2 linked regions of the Alligator mississippiensis genome follow. The protein of the gene in region 1 binds, or shares a complex with, the protein of each later gene. Links are inferred from orthologs where the notes say so. Each region holds a gene or a part of one and is shown in the gene's direction. Other genes may lie near its edges.

What was found. Proteins that work in one complex are often made in the same cells at the same time.
Region 2: the proteins of TNNI3 (region 1) and TNNC1 are in contact, whole or in part, in a crystal structure (PDB 4Y99), measured with the Homo sapiens proteins. The link is inferred for Alligator mississippiensis from reciprocal best matches to the Homo sapiens genes TNNI3 and TNNC1. Residues at the interface, in NP_000354.4 of Homo sapiens: Glu32, Pro33, His34, Ala35, Lys36, Lys37, Lys38, Ser39, Lys40, Ile41, Ser42, Ala43, Ser44, Arg45, Lys46, Leu47, Gln48, Leu49, Lys50, Thr51, Leu52, Leu53, Leu54, Ile56, Ala57, Lys58, Glu60, Leu61, Glu64, Arg136; in NP_003271.1 of Homo sapiens: Asp3, Ile4, Lys6, Ala7, Glu10, Gln11, Thr13, Glu15, Gln16, Glu19, Phe20, Ala22, Ala23, Ile26, Phe27, Val44, Met45, Leu48, Gln50, Glu59, Met60, Glu63, Glu66, Asp67, Gly68, Asp73, Asp75, Glu76, Phe77, Met81.

The regions. Positions count from the first base shown.
Region 1 is NC_081828.1:39,426,847-39,430,596, forward strand, and holds the start of TNNI3 (troponin I, cardiac muscle), read left to right. Parts: upstream 1-1,095; 5' UTR 1,096-1,209; intron 1,210-2,260; 5' UTR 2,261-2,288; coding exon 2,289-2,299; intron 2,300-3,495; coding exon 3,496-3,508; intron 3,509-3,750. UniProt on the Homo sapiens protein: Troponin I is the inhibitory subunit of troponin, the thin filament regulatory complex which confers calcium-sensitivity to striated muscle actomyosin ATPase activity.
Region 2 is NC_081835.1:39,250,448-39,254,197, forward strand, and holds the start of TNNC1 (troponin C, slow skeletal and cardiac muscles), read left to right. Parts: upstream 1-1,527; 5' UTR 1,528-1,610; coding exon 1,611-1,634; intron 1,635-3,750. UniProt on the Homo sapiens protein: Troponin is the central regulatory protein of striated muscle contraction. Tn consists of three components: Tn-I which is the inhibitor of actomyosin ATPase, Tn-T which contains the binding site for tropomyosin and Tn-C.

The DNA.
Region 1 (3,750 bases):
ATCGTTAACCTGCTGGGGTCCTAGATTGGGCATCTGAGCTTCTCCCAGCCTCACTCTTTAACCATTTGGTGCCCACTTTGTTGGGGGCCAGGACTCCTCTCTGCCCAGCATTATTAACCCTTCCATTCCCTCCCCTGCCCTGTGTCCTTCCAGGCCAGCAGCCAATAAAATTCCACTGCTATATGTTTGAGGGGAGGGTCCTACATACCCCCTGCCCCCCCCCCCCGAATTGTGCATGAATCCCCCTCCCTCCCCTCACCTGCCCCCTCTGCTCTGTGTCCGGCTTTGTCATTTATGGCTTGTTTCATACTGAAATAAAGTTCTTTCCTGCTGGGCCCACTTTGCTCCCAGCAAGTTTGACTCAAAGTGACGTGATACCAGAAGCTTAGCTCTGGGGGCACCATGCTGCAGGGCATGGGGATTTCTGTAGGCAGCACTGTGCTGCAGGTGTGGGTAGTTTGATTCGGTGGGAGGGGGTGTTAGCAGCTGGTGCAAGTGCCTCTGTGGTGCCAGGGAGCACTGTGCTGTGGGAAATAAAGGGATTCAGTACAGGGGGTGCCAGGCCACAGAGAAGAGGTGCAGGGTCTCAGCAGTCAGTACTGACCCCCTGTCCTAGCCCTTAGGGGTGCTACAGGGCCTGAAGGCACTGACCCAAAGCCTCAGGGTTCAAGGGTAGCAGCATGAAGGGCCTCCATCCCAGCTGTGAGTGCTGACCCAAGTGCCCCAGAGCTAGGGGGCACCATGGGGTGGGAGTGCTCAACTGGGGGAGGCTTCCTGAGCCATTAGCACTGACCTTGCTGATTTGGCAGCACCTTTGGAACTGCACCCCACCCCTCCCAGCACTGCCCAGCCCTGGTGTCTATGGGCACCCTGAGGCTGCCATTGGGACACGGACCACAGTGGAGCACAGAGGCCACTGGGGCTGCTTCAGGGGTAGGAGCCCACATGCTCCCGCCACCCCTTCCAGCCAGACCCTGGGATGTCTTCTCCACCCCCACTTTCGTGGGAGCACCTGCCTAGGCCTTCCCTCCCCCACAGCCCTCCAACACCAGGGCCCCCCTTATCAGCAGCCACTCCCCTCCCTTCCCCCTGCCAGCTGGGCAGTCCACCAGTCCTATTTAAACCGAGCAGCCTCCATGCTTGCCTAGAGCCTGCAGAGACGCCCCCCACCTTGCTTCTTCCAGCCCCACTGTGCTGGGAACTCTCAAGGTAAGAGAGGAGGGCAAGGAGTGATGGGGAACCTAGGGGGATGGCTGGGTCCTGGCCAGGCAGGGGGAATCCTTCTCCCCATATTCACAGCTTTTAGGCCCACAGATCTTTCCTCTCTGGCCTTTACCATCCCCAGAGACTTTAACCCCTTAATAAATATTCTGTCACCTTCAGTACCCCAAAAACTAGCCCCCAACAAACCACAGCTGGTCCCAAAGGGACCCAGACTGGCACTCCACCCCAAGAGACGGGGAAACATGACTTTAAAGAGACACTCTTTGTGCCCCACTCCAGGGATAGCCACAACCCAGTGCCAGGTGAGGTGTGCCTGTATAACCAGCCCCCAAGATACCCCACCCAGAAGCAGCTACCTCTCAGCCTGTGTGAGAGGTCCCTGTATAACCAGTGTCTTCCCCACCTCCATTCACATACCTCACTCAGGAGGCATCTGCATCAGCACTGGGACAATGGGTTCCTACAATGGATGAACCTGAATCCATCCCCCAGCCCCTTCAACTTAAACCCTATACACTTCCCCCCCCAAACCCCACCCCATCTGGATATGACTAGAGCAGCTCTGACCGGCTGGGCCACAGCCTCATGGGGCTAGAGAAGGGGGAGACTACAACCACCTCACCATCTAGTGGATCCTCTGAATACTCCCCTCCCCCCCAACCCTGCAACTGCCTGCCCAGAGCTTTATGCAAAGAAACCCCCCCCCCCCCCCCCCATCCCCTTGTGACTCTGACTCCATCTGGCAGCTGTGATAAGAGCTGTTATATTTAGCACCTTCCACTTACTGCCTTATCAGCCCTGAGCAACCACCCCAAATAGGGGCAAAGCCACAGGCCTGGGGAGATAAGGAAGTTCGTGAGAAGCCCATTCCCACCCAGGACCAGATTGGAGCTAGCACCCACTGGAAGGGAAAGGCCCCCTGCTCCTGCCTGTGTCCCTGCCCCTTACCCACCCCCTAAGCCAGCCCTGGGGCCAGATTGGGGTCAGCACTCCTTGTAGGGCACAATGAGATAATTTTTCCCATTTTTCCCCCCAGCTCTTGGTATTGACACAACCTACTCAACATGGCAGAAGAGTAAGTGATTGGTTTCATGCCCAGCTTTGGGAGGGGAGTGGGGTCTCAGGAGTGGGGGTCTTGTGGAGCAACGGGGTGGCAGCCAAGATGCTTGGGTTCTACCCCAGTGGGGTTAGAGCAGGGGGCAGCCTTGGGAGGAGACTGGGGTCTAGTGGGTTAAAGCAGGGTGGAGACAGCTGGGACACCTGGGTTCTATTCTTGACTCACATGTGAGTCTTCTTGGGGAGAGCATCTTTGCTTTTCTCTGTGCATCAGCTGCTCCAATGGCTTGAAGTTGCAGCAAAGTAGGTTTAGACTGGATATCAGGAAAAACTTCTTCACTGGTAAAACAGGGAGGCAATGGAACAGACTGCCTAGGGAAGCTGTGCACTCTCCATCACTGGAGATGTTCAAGAACAGCTTGGACAGGCACGGGTCAGGGATGATCTAGGCACAGCTCTGCCTATATTCTACTGTGGTACTTCCCGGGTTTCTCATTTTTGCTGGTTGCTGCATGGGGCTGGGAGGAAATCCTGCCCCCCTCCCTTGCTGCTACATGTATTAGGGTTTTGGGGGTGTTTTTAAGCTTTCCTCAGAGGCATTGGGTGTTGGCTGCAACCAAGGCTAGGGATTGGGACTGGGCTGTGCCAGTGGTTGTGCTTCTACCTGGAGGTTCCTGGCTGGAGGGTCTTGCTCCTCTGCTTAGGGTCAGACTGATTGTTGTATTGGGGTCAGGAAGGAATTTTACCCTGTGGCCAGACTGGCCTGGACTTTGGGGGAGTTTTGCCTGCCTCTGTTGCAGGGGGCACAGCTTCTACATGGGAGCTCTTGAGTGTATATGAACAACCTTTTCCAGCAGCGGTCCCCCTGCTTTACCTGTAGCAGGTTGGGGTGTGATGCCTTGTGTTGTGTCAGGGTTGACAGTAGCTTTGCTAAGGGGTTATTATAGATTTGTAGGGGATGGTTTGGATAGGACTGATCCTGCCCCGGGCAGGGGCTTGGACTAGATGACCTCTGGAGGTCCTTTCCAGCCCTGACTTCTCTATGATTCTGATTCCTTCAGTACCCAGGCAGGGAGGGGGCTTCAAGCCATCCATCAGGCCTGCAAAGGGCTAGGGGACCCCCCCAGTCTCAGACAGTGCCTGTGTCATTCAGGGGCTGGGTTTGTCACTGAACTAATTTTTTTCCCTCTCTCTCCCCCCTAACCTACCCCACAGGGAGGAAGTAACCGTAAGTATCAGCATGGGGGCGCATTCCCCTATAATCAGCCTTTATTATTGGGACAAAGTCAGCCACTCCATTGGATGGACTGGAAGGCAGAAATGCCCCCTAGAGGAGAGCAGTCCCTGCCCCACCCCTGACCCCAAGGCAGCCAGTGCCCTTCCCTGAGGCTAGATCAGGGCCAGTGCCCCCTAGAGGGTAAAGGCCCCTGCCCCATCCAGCCAGTCCCCTACTACAACCATCTAATTTTG
Region 2 (3,750 bases), on another chromosome or scaffold:
CTACACCCTCAGATGAGGAAACATGGTTTGAATTCCCTCTCAAGGGGATTCAAACTTTTTCAGGAGTGAGACCAAACCACTGAACTAGTGGTATTCTGGGAAGGAGAAGAAGACAGCTCTCAAAAGGTGCCTCTCCACACGTGCGCACATGCGGTTTGCAGTGCCACAAACCCATCTGTGGTGCCTTAAAATGCACGTACTGCACATGCATGCATTTGCTGCACTGCTAATTTGCAGCACGGGTTTTTTGACATGGGGATCTCCTGGTAGCAGCTGCATGCACCACTTGAAACCAGAGCCTGGCTGGCCAGAGCCACACTCCAGCTGTAGGCCGGGCTCTGTGTGCACAGATTGCTACTGCTGCAGCCCCAGGAGGTCCCCAGGACCCCAAGTAAAGCTGCTGGGACCATCCCAGGTGCTGGCCCTAAGCCCTCCTTACCCCACTTGGGGCAACTTGCTGTGTACCAGAGCATTCATGCAGTTGTGTTCCCTGGGGACAAGTAGCAGTGGCACAAATTGTGCTGCTGTTATCTGTCCCTCCAGAAACACACATTTCCACTTGTGGGGACATGTCCAAAATGTTTTACCAAGGTTTGCAGACAAGGAAACTGATCTACTGAGAGGTTAAGCAATATGCTCAAAGTCACTCAGTGGATCAGAAAAATAAACACCCGTGGTCCACTGCATCATGTTTTTCATAGCTGTACAATTTGATAGAAACTCATAGGACAGACTTTTCTGATGTTTTGCTTTTTGATGATAAGAAGGGCACACACATTGCTCATTGAAAGCTCTTTTGATTGGGTTGGGTTTTTTTTGCTCCTATAGACAAATACAGAAGAAAAGGATGTACCCTATAATATTTGAGTTTTGATTTAAACTTTTCCAGAGATTAGGAGTTCTGGATTCAGGGCTTGGTCTCTGCTGTCACAACAAAAGGGGCCAGCTGCCCAAACATTTCCAGCTGCCCCAATATTTTCAGACTTGCTCCCATTCCCACTGACTTGTAGAGATACTTTGCTACTGAGTTCAAGAGAAACTGGATCAGATTCTTAACTTGACCTGAATATTTGCTGGTACCCATGTAATGAACTACCTAATTGTTATTCAGATATTTTCAGTAGTAATAAGGCTAAGCAATAAAAGGATAAATAGGCACAGGTAAAGCTTGCATTTTTGGCCTGATTTTTTATAGAAGTAGTATAGGTTTCCCCTTATAGGCACCCTTGACACAGTGATATATATTTAACCAATCTGGCTGAGGATCTAAGGATAGCAATGAGTTTAAAGAGGCCCAATCCTGATCCTACTGAAGCTAAAAAGTAAAACTATTGATTTGAGTAAAAGCTGGATTGGGGCCTTGGAATGCAGAGCTACTGGCTTTGTATAGCTTCCCTGCCCATAGGGGTGACAAATTCCCATTTGGAGTGGGTATCACTGAGATACATAGATATATATAGTGGTTTGGTGATGCAGTAAGCTGCAGCCCATTTAGGGCTTTCAGCCTGCTATATTAGCAGTGACAAAAGGAAGTGAGATCTGACAGAGACTTAACATTTGTTTGTGTACCACTTGTCCTCTGTTCAGCTTGTGACCACCAATAATTAACCATGGATGATATCTATAAGGCAGCAGTAAGTATGTTTTTAAACATAACTTTTGTCTAGGATTGATTTTGAGGTATTATATAGATTTTTTTGTGTGTGATTTTGCTAATCTCCCAAAGGTATAAGAAGACACAGTACTCATTCATGTTTAGTTTTTTTCTACAAATAATTAACAGGAAAATACTTAGGAGAAAATGTTCCTGTAAGTATCCCACTAAAATATTTACAACAAGTCCTCTCCAAGTTCTGTGTTGTGTAATAAAGAGATGAAATTTAAAAGTAATCTTATGTTCCTGGCTTTACACAGGACTAGGTGGATTCATTCTTGTGCACCAAAATTCCTCACAAAAAGTTTGTCGCCCTGTTATTGATATCCACTCTGAGAAAACATAGTGCCAATTATGCTCACTGTACTTGATAAAAACAGTGGCAGAAACTTAATGAGATGCAATTTTGCCTTATATAGCTGGCCATGTAGTTTATTCTATAAACCCAAAATATTTTTTCTCCCTTTTAATAAATAGAAAAGCTACATTATATTGTGCCTTAAACAACTGATTATGTGTAAATTAAATGGTATCTTTGCATTCTGTAATGTATGAATCTCTCTGTCCTGGAATCTTTGCTACCACATTCTGTGCATGACTTTCATGACTATCTGGTTACATATGGGGTTGTAGTTTTTTGGTAACTGATTATGACTTTATATTTTTATCACCACCACAATGATAAATGAGTTATGGGTAGATTCTAAAGAAACAGAGATCCTGACTGACATATGACAAAAAAACAGCTGTTCATCATATTTGCCTAATCTGTGACTTCTTGTCAATATTTAAAATCTGCACTAGCCTGGAACTCTATTCTACAAACTGTGCTTTTGGTGGTTTCAGTGAGCCTGATCAGGTCAGGGTTGTAGAATAAGACAACAGATCTTTAAAGAAAGGAATAAAAAGAGTGACCTAAACACTAAAGAAAATGCATGCCTCTTTATGGCTGTTTAACTCAAGTCCCATAATATTTAGGGACATTAGACATACACTCCAAAATGAAAAGGTGAAATATTTCTTAAGTCAGTAATGCTAAAAATTAGCCAAATGGATCTGTCACTCAGACTGATAGAATGCATTCTGTAGCACAAAGAGTTAGTGTAGGGAAAAAATTGCATGTACAAATATTAGCCTCCTTTCATATTGCTTAATGTTGAACACCATATATGGCATAAAATATGAATCCCTGATCTAACTCCATTGACTTCAGTGATCATCTCTCTACTTAGCCTGTGGCAAGTTAAAGGGCATTTTTGATATTTCAGGTGTTCTGCCTAGTAGTTGTGAGGGTTGTTCCTGACTGCTTTTAAAAACAGGTTAAAATGAGATTCTAGTTAAATATTGTTTTTTGTTGTATTGTTGCAAGATGATGGCACATTTTAACAAATAAATATTTAATTGATTCACATCAAATACTTTAAAAGCACCAAGAAATACACTCTAGAGCTGGATCCAGATGTGCAGGCACATGAGGTCGTAGCACTGCAAACCTCTTTATAGTGCCAGAAAACACACATATTGCATGTTAAACCATTTGCCCCACTGTTAATTTGCAGTGCTGAAGCAAAATTTGTTACTGGGATTTCTTGGTAGCAAGCCCCCCACAAAAAACAAAACAAAACAAAACAAAATGGATCAAAGCATGCCAAAGCACCATGTGCCAGGGACAAACACAGAGACGGGGGAGCGGGCAGCTCCCTAGATTCCCCATCTGGAGGCACACTGCGCCTCAGCCAGCTGCGGAACAGCTATGTGCAATGTGCCTCAACACGGGGGAGCAGCCAGCCTAGGGAGCTGCTTGCTCCCCCATCTTAAGGCACACTATGTGTCTACACATGTAGATGCATGCCCAGGACAGCTTACTGTGTAGAGTACTATACTAAACTGCTCCCACATTATTTGCATGTGTAAATGTGCCCAAGGAGACTTTAGTTAAATACTTATTTTTTGTTGTATTGTTGCAAGATGATGGCATATTTTAACAAACAAATATTGAATTTATTTTTATAAAATACAATGCTCCAAGAAAACCCAGAGGGTCACTTGTGCCTACATAAGGTTATACAAATACAGAGCTATTCTGGTAAAGTTTT